Lytechinus pictus: one gene and its partners. The protein of the gene in region 1 purifies or fractionates together with the protein of each later gene. This does not show direct contact. Links are inferred from orthologs where the notes say so. Each region holds a gene or a part of one and is shown in the gene's direction. Other genes may lie near its edges.

The links.
Region 2: the proteins of importin subunit alpha-1-like (region 1) and DNA-directed RNA polymerase III subunit RPC3-like purify together in Homo sapiens (co-immunoprecipitation; 3 studies listed by BioGRID and IntAct, with this or other methods). This does not show direct contact. The link is inferred for Lytechinus pictus from reciprocal best matches to the Homo sapiens genes KPNA2 and POLR3C.
Region 3: the proteins of importin subunit alpha-1-like (region 1) and GTP-binding nuclear protein Ran-like purify together in Homo sapiens (affinity purification with mass spectrometry; 3 studies listed by BioGRID and IntAct, with this or other methods). This does not show direct contact. The link is inferred for Lytechinus pictus from reciprocal best matches to the Homo sapiens genes KPNA2 and RAN.
Region 4: the proteins of importin subunit alpha-1-like (region 1) and DNA-directed RNA polymerase III subunit RPC6-like purify together in Homo sapiens (co-immunoprecipitation; 3 studies listed by BioGRID and IntAct, with this or other methods). This does not show direct contact. The link is inferred for Lytechinus pictus from reciprocal best matches to the Homo sapiens genes KPNA2 and POLR3F.

What each region holds. Positions count from the first base shown.
Region 1 is NC_087248.1:5,553,299-5,560,607, reverse strand, and holds the start of importin subunit alpha-1-like, read left to right. Parts: upstream 1-4,282; 5' UTR 4,283-4,383; intron 4,384-7,309. Other genes in the region: protein DGCR6-like, read right to left, coding at 1-105, 678-817.
Region 2 is NC_087249.1:23,388,695-23,396,166, forward strand, and holds the start of DNA-directed RNA polymerase III subunit RPC3-like, read left to right. Parts: upstream 1-4,568; 5' UTR 4,569-4,847; coding exon 4,848-4,994; exon of another isoform or gene 4,995-5,054; intron 5,055-7,472. Other genes in the region: NAD-capped RNA hydrolase NUDT12-like, read right to left, coding at 1-148, 1,164-1,837, 4,360-4,568. UniProt on the Homo sapiens protein: DNA-dependent RNA polymerase catalyzes the transcription of DNA into RNA using the four ribonucleoside triphosphates as substrates.
Region 3 is NC_087246.1:34,163,441-34,170,437, reverse strand, and holds the start of GTP-binding nuclear protein Ran-like, read left to right. Parts: upstream 1-3,984; 5' UTR 3,985-4,298; intron 4,299-4,520; exon of another isoform or gene 4,521-4,793; intron 4,794-6,943; 5' UTR 6,944-6,991; coding exon 6,992-6,997. UniProt on the Homo sapiens protein: GTPase involved in nucleocytoplasmic transport, participating both to the import and the export from the nucleus of proteins and RNAs. Switches between a cytoplasmic GDP- and a nuclear GTP-bound state by nucleotide exchange and GTP hydrolysis.
Region 4 is NC_087251.1:35,560,014-35,567,080, reverse strand, and holds the start of DNA-directed RNA polymerase III subunit RPC6-like, read left to right. Parts: upstream 1-4,105; 5' UTR 4,106-4,196; coding exon of another isoform or gene 4,197-4,229; 5' UTR 4,230-4,328; coding exon 4,329-4,381; exon of another isoform or gene 4,382-4,516; intron 4,517-6,683; coding exon 6,684-6,801; intron 6,802-7,059; coding exon 7,060-7,067. Other genes in the region: histone acetyltransferase KAT5-like, read right to left, coding at 4,045-4,105, 4,197-4,229. UniProt on the Homo sapiens protein: DNA-dependent RNA polymerase catalyzes the transcription of DNA into RNA using the four ribonucleoside triphosphates as substrates.

The sequences.
Region 1 (7,309 bases):
TGTTGTATCTCAGAGAGATGTTGGACAATCTCAAAGACAGTTCCATCCAGCAGAGATAAAGCTAGGTTAGATATGGTTGTGTAGGGTAGCCGCTGCTGAAAATTCCTGTTTATAGAAACAATTAGTGCATACCTGAATTATGTATCCATGATCCATTCAAATAAAGTAAAATCTGCATTTAAGTTGATCTCTTGGGACTTTAATAACACATGTTTTGCATTTTCTATTGTCTGAGAAAATGCCTCAACTCAGGGAAGGCCCTGTAACAAAATATCAAATCAATTGTAAATATGAATCATCAATGTGTCTAGATGAAAATCCATCCTCAGAGTTACAACTCACTATAATTATTCTTTTTTCCGGTTAAGCATCTAGGAATCATAATTCATATACTAGAATTGCCATTAGTGATATTACATCTCATAGATTGATTGAAAAGCTCATTATTTCTGAAAATTCTGAAATATGCTTCCTTTTATTTCAATATTTTAATTTCACAAATTGAATTAGCATCTTTATTTCAGCACAATTTATTGGAACAAAGAGAAATCTGTTTGACTTGTAAGGCAAATTCAACTTGTAGATATGTAAAATACACCTTGCTTTGTAAATTATGATCTAAAAATTGCTTTAACTTCTAGAAGGTTGACCAAGACAGACTGTAGTACTGTACTCACATAGGAATCTGCCGAGCCATGTCCTGTAGCTGACTCAGCATGGTATAATGACGTTCTTGCTTCTGTCTTTTGATATCCACTTCTGATATCATGTAGGCCCCTTCTTGAAAACTCTCCTGCCCTTCATCCCTAGGGTCCATCTTTATGAATGGCCTTTGTCTCAAGTGTGTACACCAGCTGTTGGGATACTTGAATTAAAGGCAAACAAGCATACATATTCATCACTATAAAATGCATATCAGATGTAAAATACAAAAGTTATAAATGTAAAATGTTTCATTTTCAAGAAAGAGTGATAAGCACAACAAATGTTGCTGCCCTCTATGTCTGTTGATCAAAACAAACCCCAATTATCAAGTATAAATCCGAAGTACTCACAAGACTTATGCGACAGATGTTAGTTATCGAAAAATAGCTGTCATACATACAATGGTTTTATTCCATTAGCCTGGTACACTACACAATCAAACAGCTAGGGCAAGAACTATTGGCATGAGTATAATCTCGTATGACAGTCATTACAAATCACTGTCAGTCACATAGCTTTTTTTTATTAGCGTTGTGTCCCCATCGTGATCAATAGCTGGATGGAGCTCGTATGCTGCCGAACGTGCACGTACATGTACGACCTTGAGGCTACAGAATAGCACTCCATGACACAATTCACAAAATAACAGGCCATATCAATGCATTAAGTAACAACACACACATACGCAATAGAAAAAAATGTGGAACTTGGTGCATGCTTGACCTTAAAGTTCTTGTAAAATAAAAAAAGCAAAAAGTTTTCAACCAAAAATTTAGGGCATTTCGTCCACAAATTCTTTTTTAAAGGTCTTCACTTTCAAAATGGGGGGGGGCACACTTGTATTTTAACAGAGGTAGAGGTGTTGTGGCTCAGTGGATAAGTCTCTGGACTTTGAACCACAAGGTCCGAGGTTCAAACTCCACTGCAGCACTCGCATCCTTTGGCAAAGCGTTTATCTACATTTGCCACTCTCCACCCAGGTGTAGTTAATGGGTACCCGGTAGGAAGGAATTCCTTGAATGCTCAAGCGTCTGATCGGGATAGCCGTGCTAAAGCCAGGGTAATAGTATGCAACGCTTAGAAACATTTGTATTAAAGGGGAATCCAGCCTTGGCCATAAAATTTTGTGTTGGGAAGGAGAAAATAAATTAAACAGAATGGTGAAAGTTTGAAAGAAATCGGACAAGCAATAAGAAAGTTATAGCTGCTTTAAAATTGAGATCACTAATACTATGTAGATTTCAAATTGGCAACTGAGTAAGTAAATTATGACAAGGGGCAAGGACAACTTTCCCATAGGCCATGCACTTTATTATCAGGGATTTGTGGTTTTCTCCTAAGTACCCATTCCCCTGGGGCAGTAATCTAAATATAACCCAGGTAGTATATTGTTTTATGTCCTCATGAAATAAAAATTAAATTTGAAATAAAACTTTTGGGAAAAACAACATTTTAGCCATAATATGTATTGGAGTACATGGAAGAGTAGTCCTTGCCTTACATCACTATGACATCCCATATGAGGCCAATTTGAAGTCTCCATGGGTATAGTGATTACCAATATTTACAACATTTAAAAATTCATAACTTTCTTGTTGTTTGTCCAATATTGTTCAAACTGTCACATATCAACTAGTCTGATTTTTCTTTTCCTTATAAAAACAAGTTTTTATTTGGGTTGGATTATTTATCATTAACAGTATTTTTACATTACAAATTTTAATCGTGCCTCTCAAAATGGGGGGCACGGGCCGGCTGTGCCCATTCCTGGATCCGCCAGCGTATCAGGCCACACCAACGCCTAAACAATGCACACACACACAATGGAAAAAAGTGTGAAAATTTGTGTGCAATCGACCTCTTGGGGTAATTTTAATAGCCTCATAAGACTGATAAGACTGTGCTGTAGCTCTACCTAGCTGATATCAACGCTAGAACTTCTAGAAAAAAATTACGCCATTTAGTGAAAAAAGTATTATAATCTCCCTATAAATGTGTTATGAACGCCCAAGCCGTCAAAACCTTCTTGGCAGGTACATTGTGAAGGCAGATCAAGGACTCGCTTGCCGAAGGTCCCAGCTAGATAAGGATTCTCTCCTTCATTTCTGATCAATTTGTTGCATTTCAGTGAGCAAAATTAATTTCTCAAACTCCTCTCCCGACAGTGACAGGCATAACAAAGGAGCACAAGAGAAATAGACCGATCAAGTGATTAGAGGCCGGGATATGGACAGAGCAAGAGAAAGTGTGAGAATGTGACAAACACCACCCCCCCCAAAAATAGACTCCTTATAAAGTTATAGATCTAGACTACGTATGGCAGTGTATCCTATTGCCGGACACAGGTACCTTGAGAATTTCAGCCGTCGACGATCACCCACAATACACAACATTCGATCGAAGGAGCGGAAGAGATTGAAATTCTACAAATCAGGCCCATATTTCTGTCAGAAAATATATCGATTGTTATATAATATTTTAAGCATTTTCTCTCATTTTTAGCCTTGTTTTTGCAATCTTGTTCTTCTATGTATTGTTCTGTGAAATTGAACTGCAGAAGTCTTGCAGTACAAAATTGCTTTCGTACGCAGTAATAATGCACGTCAGGAATCATAATCATAATAGTGTCAGGTAATACGTGACTAGACTATATAGTCTAAATATATATTCAATTTCTTTTACAATAACCAAGAACATTCCTGTGCACGTCACGCGTCATCGGCATGCCCCATTTTTTCTTGGCCTCGGGCTCTTCCCTCAAAATTATTAAGTCAACCTCATCCAGTCCAATCAATCCAATAAAAAAATAGTCCTTTTTAATTTTAGTTTTTCATCAAATTATATGGTCAATTGGCTAGTCAAAGTCTAGATCTAACAAACGTTAGATCTAGTTGATTTGGGTAGCTGTCACAAAACAGGAACTCTTTCCCATATTTTTATGGTTACTTATTACTTAATTTTAGCAATCTCTAGTAAAAGTCTGACTCTGATTCTGAACAATCAATGTCGCGCGCTGGCTACTGACAGTGACACTCAGCACTAGCTAGCTCTGGCAACAGGCATCCTAGCGCGAATTGAATGAAAAGTCCCCCGAAACTCAAGGCGGCCTCATCTCAGACGTCGCCTCGCCCTCGGTCTTGCCAGCATGAGTCAGACATTTTATAATGATACTCGCTCTCTCATACTACTCAAAATCGTATAATCAAAATTATTAAATCGTTTGAATTTTCTTCTGTGTGTTTAAATAAAAATTTACCTCACAAATCTAACACTAACTTTAGGAATGCCTGAAAAAAGACACGTCTAGACTCTGGCTCTTCCTTTTTTCCTTTCTTGTTTGCGCATGTAATCTGAATGATATCGATCATGATTATCGATATGCAAATTAATTATGCACGAACCTTTAAATTTCAAAAATCGGTATGAAAACTTAGTTGGAATTCTATTTCCTTGCATCTAACTCAATAATATGTACTTTTAAAATATTATATAGCTATTTTAACGAATAATTCTACTAATATGTAACTGATTAGTTTGTTCTAAAATCACAAATCTTATGCAAATTGCCCTCATGAATATTGTTATGATGATCAGCCAATGAACAGCTTTCTTTTTCGGCTCTTTAAATAAGGCGCATCATTGGAACTTCATTTCAGAGTTCGATATCGGCACGAGCAGGTGAGCCTCTTTGTCTCCTTAAATTTGTTTCATATTTTTACTAAAAAGAAAAGAAAATTGATACGAATTAGTTTGTTTTGAGATTATAGAAACTACTGTAAATAATATGCTGCTTCATTTTTTTGTTTTTTGGATGTGAATTCAATGATTTGATGATGTTTTCTGGCATGTCTGGGAGACTTGATTGAACTTCGTAGGAATGATCTGCAGATCTGTGACTGTGGTCTGTGTGTCAGAAAGACTGTGTGAGTGTGAAATGCATGACTGCGCTGTCTGAAGTTTTGGAATGTTGGGCAGAGAAGTGAGAGAGTTCAAGTTCGTCTTTATTTATCCATAGGCCTATTGGAAATCTGTTTTGTTCACAAATTCAATTCAAGTTTACAAACATAAAAAAATGCCTTAATATAGGGGCCTAGGCCCTATATAAATTAATTAGGCCTAGGCCTATTAATAAAACCATATTATTTCATGAATAATACTAGAATTTTCAACAGTGAAAGTAACTTGAAAAAGACCGAACATGAAATTTGAATTTAAATTCTGGATCAAACCATTTTAGAAGGTCTATCTTGTATGCCCAGTGGTTGTGTGTCCGGACGGGTTGGGTGTCCGGACACATGACTTTTACTCTCAATTTTGAAAAGTTTACAAGCAATGTCTTTAATTCTTTTTAGCACAGAATATAAGAAAATATTATAAAGAACAAATATTGATGGTGAAAAAAAACTATTCAACCTATATTTTTGGTTTATTCCTGAGATAAAAACAAGGCTTCATTTCTGTTACGTGTCCGGACACCCAACCCCCCATCCTACTTAGGATGGGGGGGTCGGGTGTCTGGACACTTTATATTTTTGAAGCCTTTTTGGATTAGGGGTCTACACAAAAAATATGAAATCAATCAACTTCACTCAGTTTTGCTCTGACTCTGTAACTAATATTGCTTAATGCCTTAAAAAGGGCAAGTCCACCCCAACAAAAAGCATATGCTGCTTCAACTGTCTACTTTCAACTGTTAACATGTATAATTTGTTTTTAGCTGAAATTTCTTGTCTTCCTATGTATTTTCCTTAAGCGCTTAGAGACATTCTTTGTGATAAGCGCTATATAAATGATGTTAATTATTATTATTATTAAGAAGAATCTAACAGAGAATAACACTAAAAAATTCATCAAATCAGATGTAAAAAGAAAGTTATGACATTTTTAAAATTCAAATTTTGCTTGATTTCACACCAGTTATCCTGGTCGGTATGCAAATGAGGGGACAGATGACGTTACCCACTTACTATTTCTTTTGTATTCTTTTACGTGACATTTGACATGGTCTGATTTTCTCCATATTATCCTTTGAAACAAAGTTTTATTCCTCCCTGAACATGTTGCATTAACCCCTTTATTAAAGGACAAGTCCACCCCAACAAAAAGTTAATTTGAATAAAAAGAGAAAAATCCAACTAACATAACACTGAAAATTTCATCAAAATCGGGTGTAAAATAAGAAAGTTATGACATTTTAAAGTTTCGCTTAATTTCACAAAACAGTTACTCAGTATATGCACATCCTGGTCAGTATGCAAATGAGGAGACTGATGATGTCATCCACTCACTATTTCTTTTGTATTTTATTATATGAAATATGAAATATTCTAATTTTCTCCTCATTGTCAAGTGAAACAACGATTAATTCCTCCTGAACATGTGGAATTAGGATTGTTTAATACTATTTGGTTCAGTCAATTAAGTTGGTCCTCATTGTCAAATCTGTAAAAAATGAAATATTGTATAATTCAAACAATAAAAAACAAAAGAAATAGTGAGTGAGTGACGTCATTGACTCTCATTTGCATGTCACTGAGTTGTGCATATCACTGTTTTGTGAAAAAATAAGCGAAACTTTAAAATGCCATAACTTTCTTATTTTACATCCAATTTTGATGAAATTTTCAGTTCTGCTAGATTGATTTTTCTCTATTTATTCAAATTAACATTTTTCTGGGGTGGACTGGACCTTTAACATTGTTTAACATGTGGTTCAGTCAAGTTTTACATTGTCAATTCTGTAAAAAGTAGAATATAATAATTGTGTAATTGAAACAAAAAACAAGAGAAATAGTGAGTGATGGACATCATCAACTCATTTGCATATCACTGAGTTGTGCACTGTTTTGAGAAAAATAAGCAAAACTTTAAAATATCATATCTTAATATTTTACATCCGATTTTGATGATATTTTCAGCGTTTATTCTTGCTCGATTTTTCTCTATTGATTCAAAAATAAAATTAACATTTATCTGGGGTGGACTTGACCTACAACAGCTTATGCTAAAAATTGATAGAACTTTTCCAAATGGCTGTTTAAAATCGATTGTCTGGACACACGAACTGTCGGGACACACAACTGGGTAGATACCCAAAGTACACATTGCCCTTTTTCTCGACATTCGATTATCTGCGGCACTCAAATTATTTTTGACAGGGATGTGCATGCCTCACATTAAAGGGTACTCTGGGTTGAAAATATTCATAAAATAAATAGAGTAAAAATTCACAGAGCAAAATGCTGAAAATTTCATCAAAATCTGATAACAAAGTTATATTGCATTTTAAATTTTTATTTAGCAAACAGTTGTATGTCATGAATATTCATTAAGTGGGCTGATGTCACATCCCCTGATCCCCACTTTTTTCTTTGTTATTACATGAAATCATGTGTGAATGAGTATGTCTCTCAAAAAATAATGAAATAAGTTGCAGCTAAATGAATATCTAATGCAGATCAGTTGTCAATCCAAATTTTTTTAGTTCTTGGATAAACAAAATTGAATAAACCTAATTTCATATAATAAATGAAATATGACATCAGATTGCTCATTGAATATTCATGAAGAAATGCATAGAACTGTTTCAACCGGAATAATGCAA
Region 2 (7,472 bases), on another chromosome or scaffold:
CCTGCCAAGCAAGAATACATCTTTCCTGGGAAGCCCTTCTTCCTTCCTAATAAAATGCTCTTCCCATCCTCAGAAACTACAAGCATAATAACCACTGGGTCTAAGCGTGGGTAGCAAGTGTTATGAACTCCGTTAAGACTTCTACAACCTAGAACATTAAAACAAAACAAATAAAACCTCATTCTCATGTTTGACACTTGTAGGATAAGTGGTGTTACAGACTTCTTTACTGAGCTATAATAATTTAAAGGACAAGTCCACCCCAACAAAAAGTTGATTTGAATAAAAAGAGAAAAATCCATCAGGCATAATACTGAAAATTTTATCAAAATGGGATGTAAAATAAGAAAGTTACGATATTTTAAAATTTCAATAAATTTCACAAAATAGTGATATTCACATCCTTGTGGTATGCAAATGAGGAGACTGATGACATCACTCACTATTTCTTTTGTATTTTATTATATGAAAAATATGAAATATTCAATTTTTTTCTCTGTTGTTGTGTGAAACAATGATTAATTCCTCCCTGAACATGTGGAATAAGAATTGTTGAATACTATATGGTTCAATCAAGTTGGTCCATATTGTCAAATATGTAAAAAAATGAAATATTGTATTATTGAAACAATAAAAACAAAAGAAATAGTGAGGGACATCATCGACTGTCTCATTTGCATGTCACTTAATTGTGCATATCATTGTTTTGTGAAAAATAAGCGAAACTTTAAAATGTCATAACTTTCTTATTTTACATCCGATTTTGATGAAATTTTCAGCATAATGCTTGTTTGATTTTTCTCTATTTATTCAAATCAACATTTTCTGGGGTGGACTTGTCCTTTAATAACCTGCAATATGCAGATAAAGATGAATTGGACATTGAGAATATGAATATTCATGAAACAAGGGTCAGCCTATTATTGGCCAATGATTATGCTTTAACGCATGGAAAAAAAAGAGAGAGAGAGAGACAAGAAAGCCATGGGATGATGTGATCTAATCCTAAAAAGGAAATGCTTCTCTAGAGTCAATTACAAAGCATCAATATGATATTGACATAAAGCTTGTACACTAAATGGTAAAGTTTACAACCTATTTATCTAACCCAATTGGCCAACATGTAAAGATCAATATTAACCAACATGAAAGCAGGATGTTACCTTCTTTTGTGCAGACTCGTTTATATCCTGCCTCTGCCGTGGTAGTAGATGCACCACAGGTAGGGCAGAACTTGTATCTGTCATGCCATGCCAACATGGACCTCCCCTGACCGATGATACCAGCATCTGCTGGACTCAGAAGCATTAAAGCCATGCGATTCCTCTTGGGTAACATCTCTGCTTCAGGTTTGATCTTCTGCAGATCTTCTGAAGGAATATCGGTAACATCCACAGCAAACCAGGCACCTTCGGAGCTCTTCTCTTGCATGTCTCCATCCTTGTTCATTGGAAGGTGCAGTGGACCTACCCCTAGGAATATAATGGAAGCTTCCTCTTTCAAGGCAAAGGAGATTTCCTTATAGGAGTATGCAGCAAGATTGTACTGGAACATTCCATTGCTGTCCTCAGAAGGGATGATGTATGGATTCAAGTATCTGTACAGGATATAGGTAGTTGTGGGTGCTTGCATGGCATCCCTTATCCACTGTTTGTTGGTTCTTTGGTGGCTCTGGCGATCAAGTGGGTTGAGGCCAAAGAAGTTGACCAGGTCCTTGTTGGCAACTTCTTTGATCTGAGGATCACTCCTTAGTAGATTGATGACTTCAGTATGGTCCCAGAACTCAGCAATATCCAAAGAGTTCTGACCTGATTTGTTGGGTAGAAATGGATCACACCTGTGCAATAAGGGAACAGAAAAATGTAGGCCTACATGAATCACAAGAGCTACAATAATCACAAAGATCTAAAATCTAATCAGCATGACAAAATTGTTTTGAATAGAATCAAAGAGAAAGAACTAGAGGTCTATATCTTCCTATTGGTATTGTACATCATCATTAGTTGTCATTACCGGTACAATGAATTTTCTAAACTGCTTTTTTTTTTAAGTTATGAAATACAATCATTCTCATTCTTTTTTTTTTTACTTTGGATGTACCATTTTTAATGAAATCTAATGTATAACTATGCACCTGCAACACCATCATCATCAAGAAATTAAATGCAAACTTATCTCCTTGTTTAAAACTTAATTTTGATTATAGCTGTCTGCTCATTATTTATTGTAAACTTTGACATCAAAAGTATAAGGCATATCATCATCATCATCATCAACATCGTCACCATCATCATCAACATCATCCTTATCAATTTTCATCATCATCATCACCACCATCCTCCTCCTCATGATCATCTTCATACTTAGACCAAAAGCTTCGGTCTCTGTTATGTTGGTTGTTCAGCTGAACTCCGTTGGCTTCACTCACCAAATACAGAGACCGAAGTTCTAGCGCGATCTGTACAGGGGACTCAATGGCCATATGTTTATGTACTTAAGATCGGATAAAACGGGGAAGTGAATTTGCGCGACAGCAGTGGCGTAACAGGCGGGGGGGCAAGTTGCCCCCCCTGGCGGATTTCACCGGGAAAATAAAAGAAAAACGGGAAAAAGAAAAAAAAAGAGGGAGAAAGAAAGGGGAAGGAAAGGGGAAAAGGAAAGGAGGAAAAGGAAAGGGAAAAGAAAACGAAGAAAAAACTTTTTTTTAAATGGAAAAGGAAGGAAAGCGGGAAAATGTACGAAAGAAGAACATCTGAGAAAGAGCAAATCATTCCAAAATAGGCCTATGTAATGCAATAGCACAGTGGGAAATAAATCAAAAGATGACAAAATGGCAAACAATTGCGGGAAACGAAGGTAGAATGTAATTAGTCAAAAGCTAATGGACTGCATACAACATTGTGCTTTAAGCTTGCTAAATGCGGGGCTAAATTTTATGCAAATAAGCTACCGGGGCTTTGCCCCAGACCCCACGCAGTAGGGGCTCTTCATTTATAACCTTCAAATGGCTCTATAACGCCCCCCGTTCAATCACTGGCAGACAGGCGGGGGGGGGGGGGTCTTGGCTCCACACCCAAGAGGAAAGAAAATAAATTATATGAGACAACGTATAATGAAATGAATGGAAACAATAAAAGGTGTTATTTGCTGAATATAATGGAAAAATATATCACATAATTAGAATTTAATTTCAATAGGCATTTTTTCCAGCTCGCTTTGCACGCTGGCGACTTTTTACAAATTTTTCCCACATTGCAATGTTTTGCTCCCTCAAAATATTTGGTTCATTACGCAACTGGGTTGAATAAAATTTGTTGTGTAAAATTAAGCTATATTCTGTATATGCCCGCGATTTGATTAAAATAGCGGCAATCTGCGAGGTTTAAATGGCTTTGATATCAAGAAGTTCCGGGGGCTCCGCCCCGGACCCCAACCGCACAGCACAGCGTATGGAAGGGTTGGGCCAAGGAGATATCACTCTGTGATATCTCCTTGGTTGGGCCATGGCTTCAAAAAGTTCTACAAACAAGAACAACAAAAAAAGGAGGAAAGAAAAGCAAAGGAAAAGTGTACCTAGATATGATTTTATTTACTGAATAAAAAATAGCTCAAAGTTAGATTCTCAGGAAAAGGTGATTTTTTCTCGCTCGCTTCGCTCGCTCGGGACTTATATAAAGCAGCTTTTTAGCACATGTGTTATAATGCGCCCTTCCGTTTTTTTTTTTTACTCTTCACGCTACTGCCGCACAGAATCCTGTTCACAGTGGCGTACAGACCACAAAAAAAGGAATCTAAAGAGAGAAGAGTGAAATATATTATTCTCTGGATATCATGTCAAAATCTATCACAAAATTGGATTTTTGTATTAAAAAGGTCAAAAATTTTTGCTCGCTCGCTTCGCTCACTCGCAACTTTTTTTTAAAGATAAATTCTGCCTGATACGCAATATCTGGCCTTCTCAAAATAGTCGCCTCATTACACCATTGCACCTGTTCATACCATGATATGACCGGGAAATTTTTGGCTCTTGCCCCCCCTGGCCACCGACCCCTGTTACGCCGCTGCGCGACAGCCGAGGTAAGTCACTGTTTATGTTCCTTTTAACTTGATTTTTCTCCGTTTTTTGGCAATTAATGCCAAGAGGGAATATTAATTTGCATTTTGGTCGCGTTAATTTTCAAAATTTCTATTCATTAAAGACAAAAATTGAAGAGCCCCGACGGGGGGATTTTGCATTGCAAGTCCCCTAATGGTGGCTGCACGCTAGCGAGCCGTCTGTGTACGAGGAGAAAAAAAAAAAAAAAAAAGTTTAAAAACTCCTCGAAACAGACGGCTGCCAGCTGTCTACTTCATACTAACCCATTTTGTAACAGGATCTTGGCGACATCTACATGCCCGTTCCTGGCGGCCAACATCAGCGCTGTCCACCCTTGTTCATTGCGACTATCCAGCCCAAGTTTCCTCATTCCTTGCACCATTCGAGAAACATGGGCCGTTTCTCCAAGACTTGCACAGCGATGAAGTTCTGTCAATAGCTGGTCCCGAGGGGCTGTACTGATGGAGTCCATTCTTGTACCTCTGTTCTAAATCAGTAAATGTGATGTTGTTAAACAAATCTCAAGGACAAGGTTCGTGAATCAGCTGACACATGAAAAGACCCATAAAGTTAGACTTTCATGCAGTCGTTTATAAATGTGCGCTATGACTACTGTACAGTGTGTTGTACGTGTGCGAGCCAACAGTCGAGTGTCTTTGCTTGATTAAAAGTCAATAGACGGTAAACGCCTGTTCGGAACATCTGTTTCCATTGATTCTCAACGTGCATTCGATATTCGTGCACTCCCGAAATGTCTTCTCTGCAACTAAAGTTGGTCTCTCTTCTTGTTCAGGACCATTTTGGAGATGCTGTAGAGAAAGTTTGTTCACACATTCTGAAACATGGATCGAATAATTTTCGGAGTATAGTCTGTGCGACAAACGAAAAACCAGAACAGGTGAGGTAGTACATCATGGTCATGCCATGGATGATGATGGGTTTCTTTGACTTCGGTCCCACGTGTTAAGAATTTTGTTGGTAATAATTTGGATTCTGGACTAGGCCTCGGGGCACTCGAACTCGAAGAAGGGGGGGGGGGGCATGTTTGCCTAGCCTGGAGGCTTCTGGAGAGTAAAAGTCATCTACTATACGTAGGCTTACTTTCCATGAAGCCTGAGTCGGGATACCATTGCTCTACACACACCGTAGGTTTTCCCACGCGGTGAAAGAAACCACTCTGGGGCTACACCGCTATTCCAACGCGTGTTGGAAAAGTCGACGCCAGACGGGTACGTTTTGGCCTTGAATTTCCAGCAAATTAATCAAAATTACGGCCTAAATTTAGGTCTATGTTATCAATTATATACTAATTTCATAATTATAATGTAAAACGGGTACTCACGGGTTCTTTTCTTTCCAAATTTTGTGTTTTCATCGCCTCTTCTGGCCAACTCTTGCGATGGATTTTGTCGCCATAGGATCCTGTACGTGCAAATCCAGGGCGAGTTGTCACATGACGCTCGCGAGTCTCTAGGGGTAATGGCCTTTAATCAAGGCGTTCTTTTTGCTATAATTTTATAATGACGCTTAAATATCGAAATCAATGTAGACGAGTCTGTGCAGGGGCATAACAGGGGTATATAAGAGGGGGCATAGTACATGTCGCATGTGGAAGATAAAAGTTACGTAATGTAAGTCCCGAGCACTAGCGTACCTAGGGGGGGGGGCAGTCTGCCCCCCCCCCCCCGATGAGTCACAAACCCATGCAAATTACATATCTCTGCCCCCCGGCCCCCCTGACGAGCTTGAAAACCTATTTTGCCCCCCCCCCCCCGACGAGCTTGAATACCTATTTTGCCCCCCCCCTGGCGAGCTTGAAGACTTTTTTTTTGCTTGTCAAATTTTTTCTGGTACGATTGAAGACCTTTTTCATTGAAGAGCCTTTTTTTCCTTTTTTTTTTGCTTGTCAAATTTTTTGGCGGCCGATTTTGCCCCCCTGTGGAAAATCCTAGGTACGCCATGCACTGCCCGCGCTACATGTATGTTGGTAGCCCTGGGACCTCTGGATATTAACTAATCCAATTTAATTACAGATGGCAGATTTTTTTATTATCTGAGTAGCCCCCCCCCCGGATTATTTGTTCTCACATTACTTTCCTTTTTAAATTTCCTTTCGTTCTTTCTTTCATTTTTCTTTCTTTCTTCCTTCCGTTGCTCCTATGGTTTTTTTTCAGGTGAAATCCACTCGGGGGATGGCCAGCCATGCCCCCATCTGTTTATGCCTCTGAGATGTAGGCTATACTCATGATCTTAATCTTCGATTTTCCAAAGTAGGGGGGTGCAATTTCTCAAGTAAAATTTGACAACCCCCCCAAAAAGGTTATCACAGAAAAATTGTCATTTTGTCTCGCGTAAGATTTGACAAGTAAAAAGAAAAGATGGTTACTAAAAATAAAAGACTCATTTTGTCCGTGTAATATTTGGCAAGCCTCCCCCCCCCCAAGTTTAACATATCGGAGGCGCGATGGCTCAGTCGGTAGAGCAGGGGTTTCGGATTCCGGTGACCCGGGTTCGATTCCCAAGTGGTGCGCTAGTGCCCTGAAGGCTTATCCTCATTACCAGGTCCCTCGGAGAGGACCTTAAGCCGTTGGTCCCCTGGTTGCTTGCTCACAGGCATTCGTGCTTTTTTAGCAGTCAGGTAAAAAATCTCGATATAACATAACATTAAAAAAAAGTGAAGGTCATTTTGTCCTGCGTGAAATTTTAAAAGTAATAAAAAGATGGTCACTAAAATTGAAGTTCATTTTGTTTGTGAAATATTTGGCAAGCCCCCCTCCCAAAAAAAGGTTTTAACTAAAAATGATTGAAGGCCATTTTGTTCCTCTTAAAATTTGTCAAGTATAAAAAAAAAAATCACTAAAAAATGAAGGTCATTTGTCCCACGTAAAATTTGACAAGCCCCCCCCCCCTAAAAAAAATGAAAGGTAGCTGATAATGATTGAAGATCATTTTTTCTTGCATAACATTTTACAAAAAAAAGTGTGTCACTATTTGGCGAGCCCCCTACCCTCCAAAAAAAAGGTTTAATTAATAATGATCGAAGGTCATTTTGTCTCTCGTAAAATTTGACAAATAAAAAAAAAGTTGTCACTAAAAAAAGAAGGTCATCTTGTCGCGCGTTATATTTGGCAAGCCCCCACCCCCCTAAAAAAGTTTGTCATTAAATATAGAAAGTCATATGTTCAAAGTAAAATAAATTTGGGAAGCAAAAAAGAAAAGGACAAAAAAGAGCAAAGAATATGAACAAAATATCCCCATTACAAATATTGCTGTGATTCTCATAAGGAGGTGGGGGGGGGGGGACTTAACTTTGTACGAACGACATTTTTTTTTTACATCCAAAATATTGACTATGAATCTCAAAAGGTGGAACGGG
Region 3 (6,997 bases), on another chromosome or scaffold:
TTACATTCAGTTATGTCCTCATATCCAGCTGGCACAAAAAGGTAAAGGTTGTGCTTACCTAGGATTAAAATGTTGATTTGGGTGGCAAGGTTGTTACAGAATGTTATGTATCTGGTTTATTTCAATTGGCTAAACATGATGAGAAAATGTTCAGCACAGTCAGTTTGTTTTCGCCTATATGTTTTCCTTGACCTGTTGACACAGCGTGAAAATAAGCATTTCTGCCCAAACCGATTTCTGCGAGCTTTACAGAAAACTCAGTGCTCACTCAAGTGTAACATTCTGTCAAAATTCTTAGTTTCATTGGATAGATGAGACCCAAACCCAATGTGAAAGAATTATCCACATGGGCCCGTACTCTGAAGTCAGGTCAACCGCGTAGCCAGGATTGAATTTTTGAGGGGGCGGTAAGTGCACGCGAAGTGTACCAACCAAAGACCTTATTATATATTACGGTGCCAACACTTACAGAGCTCCCGATAGGCGTTAATGTTGAAAACTGAAGGCGTCTCTTGCGTCTCTAGTACCCTATCAACTCGAATTCAATTGACCTGCTGTGATTAAAAACAAATTGTTTTCGAAAGAGAAATTATGAGCGCCCAAAAATTGGAAAAGATTGGAGAATTTGAAATAATTCCTCTTACCGCGCGAAGCGCGGAAGCTTAAAACGTTTTATAAAAATAGAGAACAGAAATGTTACAATTATTATTTTTTTATTTATTTATTTATTCATATTTCACCAGGGTAGCTCATTCAACAAAAGTTGATCTTCCATGAGGCCCTGGATAACAAACAATACAATTATATACAATTAAATACAATCAATGGTGATAATACATATACATAATTATGCCTATCTTGGTCACATCAGATTTGATTGTGAAAACTTTATCCACATCAAATTTCGTTAACTCAAGTCAAAACAGAAAACGGGTATATGCAGGAAGAAAATAGGCCCTATATTCCTTCCGCGAATGGCGTTGAAGCTCTGAATTATAGAAATTTCTCTGAAACTTTAACCTGTTCTAATTTTGATATTTCTTAGATTATATACAACTCGATTAAGAAGAAAAACGAGCTCAAAATTTGAAAGGAATGATGCAAGTTAGAAAAGGGACTTTTCCTTTCCCATGCTCGCGAATCACGGAAACCTCTGTGATTTATTTTGGAAGAAAAAACATTGTGTAATTTCGCTCATATTAAGCGCTTCCTTTTGTTTGATCAAGAAACTTCAGTGATATTCAAAATTTCAAATCAATGGCGCAAAACAAGACAGGAAATGGATGTACAGCGATACAGAATAAAGTGTAATATCGTACATAATTATTTTTGCATATACCACGGCATGAATTTAACGTCTCCCCTTTGAGCAGATACTTTGCAAAAAATTACTTCTTGAAAAGCGTAGAAATAGCATTTGGGGATTCGGGTAGTGACGGAAAAAGTCTCCCCGCTCCGAACAGATGAGCCGAAATTTTGTGTCAATGCAAAACAATTAAAAATACTTTGCATACTCTTTACACTCGCCCATGTACTTTATAATTTCTGGCAAGAATATACAATTCCCCCAGCCGGGAAGGGGAAAACGGAGTAGAAAAAAAGGTGTGGGAAACAAAAGGGAATAGCAATTTTGATATTTTTCCTGCGCGGAGCGCGGAAGAAAGTTTTTTTGTAAAGAGAAAAGAACGTCTCGTTCAGGTTTTTATTCTCTTGACAAAAAAAGAGGAAAAAAACAACGAAGCTTTACTTTTCTTCCCTTTTCTCCTTTCGCTTTTTCTTTTTTTTTCCTTTTCCCCTTCTTTTTTTTTCTTTTTGGGAGCATTTTTTTTGGGGGGGCGACCGCCCCCCCCCCCTGGCTACGCGCCTGAGTCAGGTTTAACTTAGACCATGGTCTAACTCTGTGCTAAAATTATGGGAAGCCAATAGTGTCCATAAGGTTGACAATGTTTGGCTTATTTTCTCTTTTTCTTTTGGACAAATGCTTGATTTTTTTGCACTGTCAGTTTCCATTACAGCTTTACAGTATATAACTTGGCTCTTAAGCAAATTTGATTCTTTAAATTATTTTTTTCTTGATTAAAAATAGAGCTTGAAAAATGTAAATTTTGTTGCCATATTACTTTCCACCAATAGAGGGCGTACACAAAAATATGCCCAAAATTCAAGTTTTTGAGCGCTCTGGTCAATACAAAAATTATTCTAAGTTACTAATGAAAATTAAATTGCAACTGTATGGAAATTAATAATTTTGGTCACAAAAGTGATATTTTAATGATTTTTTTAAAGTGTGTGCTCAATACAGCATTGGCATACCATAGTCCTACCTGTAATTTCCCCACAGCGGCACAGGCAGGATGGTAGCAGTGGAGTCGGCCTACTTTTGCATTTAAAAAAACGCAAAATTTCTAACGCGGTCGCCTTTCCTACAAGAATTTGGCCGTAACAAAATAATGAACAAATCCTTACTTTTAGCTTGTTGCAAAGGTTTTATCCGCTATCATAAGAATATGGTTATAATAAATCCAAGGCATGAATTAAATCATTCAAATGACTTTTAAATATAGTAACAACTTTGATATAAACCAATAAAAACGTTCCTTAAATACACTGGCGGGGGGTCACATGGCATCATTGTGGAAGCGGGGGATAATTTGTAAAAATAAATATAGGTGTATAAACATATTCTTGAAGTTTATTTTACGACAAGTTACTGATGACACTGATCAATTTTTTTCCGTTACAATGAAACACTCTAGCCTTGTAACGACAGCGGTATTTCCCACATATCCTAACAATTTTTTTTTTTTTTTTTTAGCATAATTCCAATCACATACATTAATTGACGCAACAGTCTAATAATTTAAAATGTCAAAGTTGAATTTTGCTCCAAATGTTGAATGTTGCATCATCTCTCAATACAATATCAACTATTATTCAAAAATTTCCTTTAATATTTTCCTTTTCAGTTTCACCGTTTGCATCATAGTTCCATTTCCGCATTTTCAGAAGTTTATATTAGGCCTATACTAGGATTCTATAATCCTATAGGATTTCATAAGGAACCGCTTTTCCCGATAATCATGATCCCATTTTTTATGCTCAACTCACCTCTAACTAGTGAGCAAATGAGTTTTCATTGCACGAATCTCGACTGTTTAATCCTTATATTTTTTATATAAATACTCATTTCTCCGTTTCCCTTTTCTTCTAAAGTCTTAGTTATTGATTATAATTACCCTGGCTTACTATCCTCTATAATGCACAATGTTTTAGACGACTGAAGCAACTTTCTCACAATGCGAGTTCGAAACGCGAGTGAAATTTTTACATATAGTGACATGCAAGATTTTTTGAAATTATTTTCCAAGTCTTCTCGGCCTCACCTTATTTTATTCACTCGTCTTCGTCCTTTAATTTTTCCTTTTTTTATATCCTCTCCTCCCCCCCTCATTTCCTTTTTTTCGCCGCCAATAGGGTGGGGGCCACGACCCATTGCCCCCCCCCCCCCCCCCCCCCCCCCCCGTATCGGCCAGTACTAGTGTCAGGGATCAAGATTTGGATGGTTTCAAGGAAATTTTCCATTTCAGCAGACGGGTCAAGATGATACGCATGCGTCGAAACCTTCATGAACGAGCGTGCGCAGATTTCTTCATATTCGTAGTTTAATTTCAGGAATTTTGAATAATTAGTTTGTCTTTGTGTTTCTTACTTATATATAACTATCCCAAAATTGTACCTATTTTAGACTCGATATTTCTGACTTATTAGACCAATGGCAATGACTTGATACCAGCTGTTTAAAAAATAGGTTTTTTTTTAGACGGTTTCCTCAACGCATTGTACAATGAAATGAACTCCGGGAATGAACTTGAATAATATATATTAGAATTAAAAAGACAAGATGATGGAATGTAATCATAATGGCCTTCATTATTTTGAGGGCATGGGAATTCAAGCAAAGTTCAGAAGGTATAAAATTACTACATACATCCATAAGGTTAAATGAAGTTCAGTCCTGGGCGCAGGATCTTTTGCTCATTCTACTTTCGTGATATATAAAGCCCGGATATAAAGTCCCGTATAAAGTCCCAATTTTTTTCCTAAAGTTTACTCTTGGTTTCATGCAGCTCGGAGTACTTCAAATTTAATTTTGCGACTTGAATTAGTTCTACTTTCACATTGCTATCTTCGCTCGATAGCAATTCGCAGTATATAGTACGCGTGCAATTGAAATTCTCACGTGTGATGAATGAACTGAATTTGCGCGCGACAATTGCCAGCTAAAGAAAGGAAAATAGGTAAGATAATTTCTATAGTCAAGTTTCTCATAGCATTAAGGAAAATTTATGATTCATAATTCATGCGTCTTCATCATAAGTCTCATTCGACTAATATTTTATTTGAATTTGATGAGGTATCATACTGATTTTTATCATCGAAAATCGTCCGTGCAATCCAGTTATGACTGGTTCGTTCACAACCGGCATGACCGGCTCCATATAGCCATAGGCATGCATTTGTACGTACGTTGGCCATTCGTCAGTAGGCCTGCGCCTATTGAGTATTGTGTGGGCATTGCGAATTGAGCTGGATGTGGCATTTTTGCACATGCTTGAATGCGAGATATATTTTAGTGATAGATCTAGTCTAGTTAATCGTCTTGGAAACGGCTGTGACTGACTGAGATTGCGTCAGATCTCAACCTACTAAGCCTAGGCTAGAGTAGATGTTCTCAACTTTCTGCCTAGTGTCTAACTCTAAATTTAGTAAAATTTAGACTTCATATCATACTCGTAGGTTCTACTTCTTCTACTAGTACTAGTTCAACTTCTACTTCTAGTTCTAGTGACATTCTTAAGCATTTAAAATGAAAAGGGCAAATTTTCATGTTTATACACCTTTCCATTTTCTCTCAAGGTCTGGTTGAATAAAGACATGCAGTAACACATGCCATGGGCATGATGGGTCATGGATGCATTTTCGTTAATAAAAATTAAAATGTGTGTGAACATCTTGTTTTACAATTTTACTTCAAAAGGATAAATTATTCTGATATCAAGAATGACAGAATCAGCGTTTGAAGCACTCCTAGTACCAATGAGGTCCAACATTACATGTATGGACCTCATAGGCAACATCAGTAGTATTTTTGGTTAGAAATCTCTGAGAACAGGATATATCACAAGTACAAGCTATATTCCTTTCTCTTATTTAAATTATAATTTTATAGTGTAAATGCATCGTTAGCAACAACAAAAAAATGAAAGAAATGAAGGGGAACTTACATTTTCACGGCTTTTTCCTGATTTTCTGGGCAGCTGCTCTTCTCTTCTGACTCGCGATCGAAGCTGATATGAAGATCACGTGATTCGCGTTCTCGTCAGCTGATCGGTTGGTTATTCTTTGTCAGACGTTAATAATATATATTTTATAATGCTAGCATTCATCGCTAATTTAGGTGAAAGAGATTGAAGTTAAACAGCGCCAGGTCGGAATCATAATTATTTTGGAAGATGTATTTATACACTCGATCTCATACCTGACGTAGACGGCGGTATTCAACAAATGCACAATCTTCAATATAAAAAATAAAACAGAAAGAACGCCTTGAACACAGGCCAAAATGCCTAACGATTTCTCCGCGGCATTAACAACTATCATAAAGGGCGCTCCATTTATCAATAAAGATGGATGCTAAGCTGTCTATGGCGACAAAATTTGCCGCAAATATTTACGAAGAATTGTGAGAAATGGTCTGAAAATGCAACAAAAGAACCGGTGAGTACCGATTAAACATTATCAATTTATTTAATAGAACATATTTAATGACTACAATGTAACAATTTCTAGATAATATTGCTTAGTTCTAAGCTAGGGCGGCCCAAATGCGCGTGAGTGGAGTCCCAGTTTATTAGCACGGGTAAGTATTGGGGTGTCGCCTAGAGTGGTTTGAAGCAATATAAAAAAAATGATAACTTTTCTTTAAATGAATGATAATGATATGTATGATTTACTCTGGATAATTAATTAGAATAAAGCTCAAGCTGCGGATTAATTTTTTTTTTAGATTCTCTTTGTGCCATTGACTTGTGACGTTGTGTTCAAATGTAATTTTCAAAAAGTAAAAAATTTGTTTTCTTATGTCATGTATGTATTCTATTGTTTTAAAATTTCTTATATTATGTATTAGGCCTAATCATAAGAATTAGGACCGAGTCAAAACATTTAAAAGCTGTTCAAAAGACCGTCAAACATTTACCTATTTTGACAACTGTTTAATCTGTATCGATCTAACGTTAGTAGGGCCCAGGGGGGGAAAAAACCTTCCCAAAAAGATGCTGAAATTTCACATTTTGCATTCATGAAATGGCCACCTACTTTAAAGATTTCTTTAAAATCGTTTTGATTTAGTTGAAAACTATCAAGTAAATGAAGAATATTCAGCCTCTCTCGACGATCGACTTTGGAAAATTGTTTTATGATGTTACACTTAGTCAATATTGTAGTCCCACATGCAGACTTCAGTGGTGTTGCAACATTAAATGAAAATGATCGTTTGATTGGTTTGTTTTTTATTGTTTTACACTCTGTTGAAAGTCTAAATGAAAGTCTAAATGTTGGACTAGAATATTTACAGAGTGTAACATTATAAAACGATCTTTCAGAGTCAAGAAAGAGGTGAATATTCATTTCAAGTAAATTTGGAAAATATATAGCCTTTTCCTGAATGTACATATAAAGATGTAAAATGTGACATTTCAGCAACTTTTTGGGAAGGTTTTTTTCCCCCTGGGCCCTAATCTTAGATCTATACAGGTTAAATGGTTGTCAAAATAGGTTAACGTTAATGCTGTTAACAGTCGTTTGAAGTTTGAACAGTGTTTAAACGTTTTGACTCTGCCCTAATTCCTAAAGTTTATAATATTTTTCATTATATTCACAGATCCTACAGATTTTATCACAACGCAAGCAACCAGTGTCAGACAGAAAAATGACT
Region 4 (7,067 bases), on another chromosome or scaffold:
TAATCTTAGGATTTCTATCAAAAAATAAAAACAGATTGATTTCAATTGTCTATTATCTCATTATTGTCTTGTTATTGTGGTCTCAATAAAATTGTTGATATTATTGTCTTTTCATCGTTTCATTATTGTCCCAATTATTATTATAATTATAATAATTATTATTATCATGATAATTATTTTTGTTTCATTAATATTATTTTCTAAATAATGATTACAATTATAATTACTATCATTATAGTAATATTTGATCATTAGAGTAATTATTGTTATAATTATTTCATAATAATAATCATTATTGAAATAATAATTATTATTGTCTCAATAATTATAAGGCCTTAAATTATAATTATGATTATTTTTATAATTACAATTATAATAATTTTTATAATAATAATCATTATTGATGACTTATCAATATTACTGTCTCAGTAATTATTACAAGTACAATTACTTTCATTATAATTGTTATCATTATAATTATTTTATGATAATTATTATTATTGTAATAATAGTTATTATTGTCTCAATAATTATAAGGCCTTTAATTAGAATTTTGATTATTTTTATAATCATAATATTTTTATAATAATAATTATTGATGACCTTTCAATATTACTGTCTCAGTAATTATTACAATTATAATTACTTTCATTATAATTGTTATCATTATAATCATTTTATAATAATTATAATTATTGTAATAATAGTTATTATTGTCTCAATAATTATAATTACTATAATCATAATTATTTCTACAATTATATTTATTTTAATTATAAATAAGTATTACTATTATAATGATTATTATTGATATCTCATTAATATTATTGTCTCAGTAATTATTACAATTCAAATTACATCATTATAATTGTTATCATTACAATTATTTTATTATAATAATGATTACTGTAATAATTATTATTGTCAATAAATACTAGAATTGATGTCTCATTAACATTGTCTCAATTATTACAATTATAATTATTATCATTATGATTATAATTGTTATCATTATAATCATAATAATTATTATTGTAATAATAATTATTATAATTGTCTCAATAAATTATTGTCTCATAATGTCTCATCATCTCTGTTGCCTCATTATTGTCTTCTCTTATTTTTTCATAATATCTTCAAAATAATATTTAACACCATAACAAAGGTCCATAAATCAGATATCAAATTCATGAAACTCATCTCATGTATCTAAACCTATTTCTAAATTAAATTCATGAAAGGAGCTTTCTGTGCCATTCAAAAATACGACTTTCATTAACAATACCATATTCTAGACATTCAGACGCATTGCAACAAAAAAATCACTTATCAAACAAAATTCTTGAAGTTTACTTGCAGTTTTGCTCTTAATACTTATTTCACACGAATTCTACAAAATTATTTTCAAAATAACAATTTGATTTTCATAATTAACAGAGCTCAAATCGTAATTAAAAAAAATATACAACGGCTGAAACATACCGTGTCTGAATACCAAGACTAATCTCAGGCCCAACGCAGTGGGGATGACGTCACTTACAGCTGTTCGTATACGCTCAAAACAACCCTGCTCGATCGGCCGAGTCAGATTCACAAACACCTCATGACACTCAAAACTGAAGCTCATATCCGCAGGCTCTCTACGGACCAAATTTAATTAGAATTTAACAAAATGTTCTCAAATATACAATTTTATTACTGACCGAGTTTACAAGAGATCCGATGATTACAAGAAGGTGATTTCAAGCAAAGAAAAATAAATACCTGAATATTAGGTCCTTCCCTCGCATGAAGGTAAGTGATACTCCATCTTATATATTTCCGATGTTTACCGAAGATGTACAAAGCAACCGCGGGAATTTTTGACCAATCACAATCAGCGGAATAAAGGAAGAAACTGACTCTGTCTTTTCGAGCAATGCCGAATGCAACTCCAGCGCTCGGCCAAAGTGTCGAGCGGAGCGAACTGTGTGTGTTAGATATGCGCTCGCCATTCACTGCAATGCAAAAATCTACGTCTAGCGCTGTGTCCGCGCAATCGCCCGCCTGGCTGAAGTGTCTAGGCCTAGCAATAATTAAATCAGATTTTTAATATTTAAAAAATCATAACTCTCTTAATATTTGGCCTAGAGTAATGGTTAATAATACCATTTTAAATGTTTTTTTCAGCCCTTTCCAATGAGCTAGGTTACAATGTAATTCCATGATTTTTATTTTTTTTGTCACATATATGGCAGTATGTCCAAACTTCGCGCGTGTCCATACTTCGCGGACGGTCATTATTTAAAAAACTAGCCAATATCCTTAAAATCTGACATCATCAACGTGAAAAGCGACCTAAAAGTACCCTATAGTGAAAATTTCTTTAGGATGAGTTCAGTATTCATGAAAATATTGGCAAAAGATCGGCAAATTTGCCACCGCTAGCGCCCGTTTTGAAGAAATCAACAAGCATCACGATATCACCATTTTGCAAGCAGAAATCATAAAAAATGTGAGTTAAATGTGGTACTAACCGATTCCATAGCATTTTGCCATCAATCTGATATAAATATTTCACTTTTTTAGCTTGATTTTTTGTTTAAATCTCCACAAAAGCTTTGGTGCGCGAAGTTAGGTCACACTTTTTCTGAACGGTTTTCCAGCACAGCCCGCATTCGCCGATCGGAATAGAATTTTGAGATCGCGATACCGGCGAAACCCCTTGACTAGACAGGAATAACCGTCGTTTCTGGGGATTTATTCAACAATTTCTGACATTTTACTGTAATCCCCATTTACCGACGGTAGGGTGTACGTGTGGGCTCGCATGTGTTCTCATTCCCTCCCTTTTGTCAATTCACAGTCCAAAGTTTGATGTAATTTTACACATCGAATTTACAATCTAAGGATGTATAAACAACAAACTTGTAAAATTTAATATTTTAATATTTAAATACTTTAAACGATATAGATGAAAAAGGCATGAAAAATATACTTTACCGATGTTTAATTGGGTTGAACACGATAAAAATGGTCAAAATGGCAGCCAAACTATAAAATATTTACAAACGAACGTCAACAATCACGAATGTGATATCGATATTGCTTTCGATATTATACGATCTGCTCCATATGCGATCGAAACCGAAGATAAACGATACTAGTTATACTAGTACTAGTACTAGTTATAATCGCGATATATCGATTCGAGACATTAAGTTTATAACGATAATGACGTCATTCAAGATGGCAACTTGCAAGAAAAACCGTCAGGTCAGGTGAAAATGTCTTAGATGACAGATTTCTCAATCATCCAGAGGATTTTTTTCAATAACTCCGGCCCAAGGTATGCAATTACTAAATTTATTCATATTTCCCTGATAATGGAAACCATGATGAAACTTTCAATTTTGCTTAAAAAACAGTTTTAAATCGCGATCTATAAAACGCTAGTTCACTATACGTTGGCTGTAGGTACGGGGCCCCATCCCCTTCAGTCTATGTATGGTGAGTGGAGCCAACGTAGTTCAGCGGAACAACCAAAATACAGAGACTGAAGCTTTTGGTCTACCCCTTGACCTACTTTACATTTTCGTCCATGATTTTATAGTTTACGATCTTGCCGTCAATGTGGTAACTATTTCTTGAATTGGTTTTGTATAAATTATGAATATTTTGTGAACAAAAATAAGCCTGATGAATATTTTTGAAAAGTGCGCGAAGTTTGGACACCCCATCATACCTATCTTAAAGACTTAGCATGTTATTGTTAAGGCTTAAGCATCCTCTTTTTTGGCAAATTGGCAATGTTTTTATTTTTATTTAAAATGCTCTTTTAGCACTTACATGTACATGCACTTTACATATTTAGTTGGATATTACAAAGATTTTGAAAAATATTATGTCCTTAAATCCTTGGTCCATTTCATGGTTGAGAAGGGACGTGACTTTATAAACAAGACATAGGGCCTAGGTAAATAAATACAAAGAAATTTCACCAATATAGCAAACGCAAAAGTCAACACATGGGACCAAAATGAAATAAATCCAAAGAGAACTTACGCCACTCATCCGTTTGCTTCATTCTTACAGGCATGCGGCATCCTTCAACCACCAGATCTTCCTGAAAAGAAAATTAGAGTTGCGATTATAAGTTCAAATAAATAGGGCACAATAAAAATTTAAAAGAATTAATAAAAACGAGCAAAACTCACAGTTTTTATCGATGAATCATTATTTTCCGCCATTTTGTTTGTGTGTTTTCTCTCAAAATTACTCCACTGCCGACGGCTTGTCCAAAAAAATTTTCTTGTCCAACTCCAAGAAAGAAGCACAGATAAAGTAAAATGAGTGCAGGAGAAAAGAAGGAATCACCAGATGCTATGAATCTAGAGGAGAGGTATGAGCCGTATCATATATGCATTTTAGATCGATTTTTTTTTCTAATTTTGCATTATATGTTTAAATTTTTGTTTTTTTCTAGCCAAAAAGGTCGTGCTTCACTTCAGTCCCACCTGATGTCTGTTTTGTTTGCTCTGGTTTTGGAAGTTTGTAGTTGTAATATAGTCACGTATTGTATTAATACCGGACACTATTATGATTCCGGACGCGCATATTACTGCGTTCTAAAACAAATTCGTACCGTAAAACTTCCGCAATTCAATTTCACAGAGCAATACATAGAACAAGATTGCAAAAACAAGGCGAAAAATCCAACTTTTACCTAATTATCTCTCAAAATGACAGAAAATGCTTAAAAGTTAAAATATCATATTATAACATAGTTTTGTATTAACAATTGATGTATTTTCTAACGGAAATATGGGCCTGATTTGCCGAATTTCAATCTCGTCCACTCCTTCGATCGAATGATGAGGTGTGGTGTATTGTGGGTGATCGTCGATGGCTAGTTCTCAAGGTACCCGTGCGCGAGGTTTACCGTGAGTAGAGCCGTCGATCGGCAGCGCATCGATAGAACTTGATGAGCGTCACGATATGATACGAACGCGAGCATATTATTATTGGAAAGTGCCATGGAACATGCAGCTAACAAGACAAAATAAAATAAGTTATCAAACACGAATTTATTACCAACATCTGCTCAGATTCGATATAAAAAAGCAAATAATACTTAGAATTTACTCATGATATGATATAAGAAGAAAAAAATCACACAAATTTGCTCTTACATCATTATAATCAAGGATATCTTTACCCGTCCGGCGCGCGTCCGGAATCATGATGTAATTTGTCGCGCACGAAAATAATTGTTTTTCATGGAGGGGTATGCGGCAACTGCGATGCAAAGAAAATGGTTGGTAAATATAATTATAAAATAATTTTATCATATTCATAATTTTCATAATATTTGGAATAGCAAGTGTGATTTTTTCTTGATTGTATTTCCTCTAGTTGTCATTTTTAAAGCACTGAAATAAAGGTGTCCGGCAATAGGATACACTGCCATACAGCTAGTATTGCTATTTTCAATTTCACATTCATATAAAAATTAAAACATATTGGCCCGTATTCTGAAGTCGGGTTTAACTTAAACTCAGGTTTTAAGTTGTGGTTTAAGTATGGTAAGCCAATGGTTACATAAATCACTATTAACAGTAGAGATATCATATTTCAGCTCATTTGGCTCTCAAATCATTCATAATCCTGATAATTGTCTAGGAAGTATAAAATTAAAATTGATTGTCTTCATCATCGATGAATCAGGAAAGAGCACAGTAAACATACAAAACATACAACTTAATAAACATTTTGACACTTTTGGCTTCCCATAATTTTAGCACAGAGTTAGACCGTCCATGGTCTAAGTTAAACCTGACTTCAGAATACGGGCCATTAGATTTTTGGAAAAGTACCGGTAGTCATAATGTTCTTTTGATATGAAGGAAACGGACACGAAAACTTAAACTTTTGTTGTCACTTGTTTTTTTTGTTGCTATTTATGAATTTTGCCCTTTTCTGTGTAAAAAAATGTTGGACTGGAGTCCAGTCCTGGAGGCTGGACCTGGAATCTGGATTGTGAAAGTTGCATTGCAGTTGCAATGAAATTATCTAAATTATAAGACCACTTCTAGTACCAATGAGGTCAAAAGTGACTCAAAACGTAACCTATTGACCTCATAGTCAACAATCGTACATATATGGGGAGGTGCACTTGTAGAAAGTCGCCTCCCGTGGCAGTACACAAATGCATGACGACTAGTTTTTTTTTTCGTTTAGATATGAACTTCCTTGAGTGAAATTATTATTGTTTATTGCAATTTAGATATTACAAATTATATCTAAGGTAAAACTTTTTATTAAATATCTGTGGATTTTGTACAATGGTACTTGAAAGTCTTACTACGCTGGCAGCTTTTTTCAACCTTTTTTTAGGTCCCAAAGACTCCCACTCACTGCCTCCTACTAGTCCTAGAGTGTATAAGACTAGAATAAAATACAGTCAGTGTCACTTAATCTCTCTCTTTTAGTCCAGGCAGATAATTTGGCATTATTTGATTTGAAGGCTTATTTATTTTGCTGTCAATACCTGACATAGTCACTTTTTTATAAATGTGAATTTGAAACAGTTGATTTTCCATTATTTTGAATTTACATTGTATCTCAAGACATTATGGTCTATCTCATCAACAGTAACCAATTAATTTGAACTTTTGTAATCTGTTTTCTTGTTCAAATTACAGAATCCTGGAACTATGTAAAGGAGAATCAGATGGTATTCGAGATTCGGCTATTCAGAAGCAACTTCCAAACATTGATGCTCAACAGAGAGTATCGGCTGTCAACAGACTTCTTTCATCAGTGAGTTTCTTTTTTCACCCCCCCTCCCCCGCGAAGGTGGTTGTCAGAGGCATTCATTATATTTTGGAGTCATTGTGTTGCTAATCTGAGAATATATTCTCAGTTAAGCAACACAATGACTCCAAAAGGTATACCTTCAAAGGTATACCTTCAAAATAAATATGAAAAACATAATTTTGATTCAGTAATTCCTATTTGTTTACAATTCAGAGCATATTTGATGAAGAAATCTAATTTGCATCCTTTTCTTTTATCTAGGGTAAAAT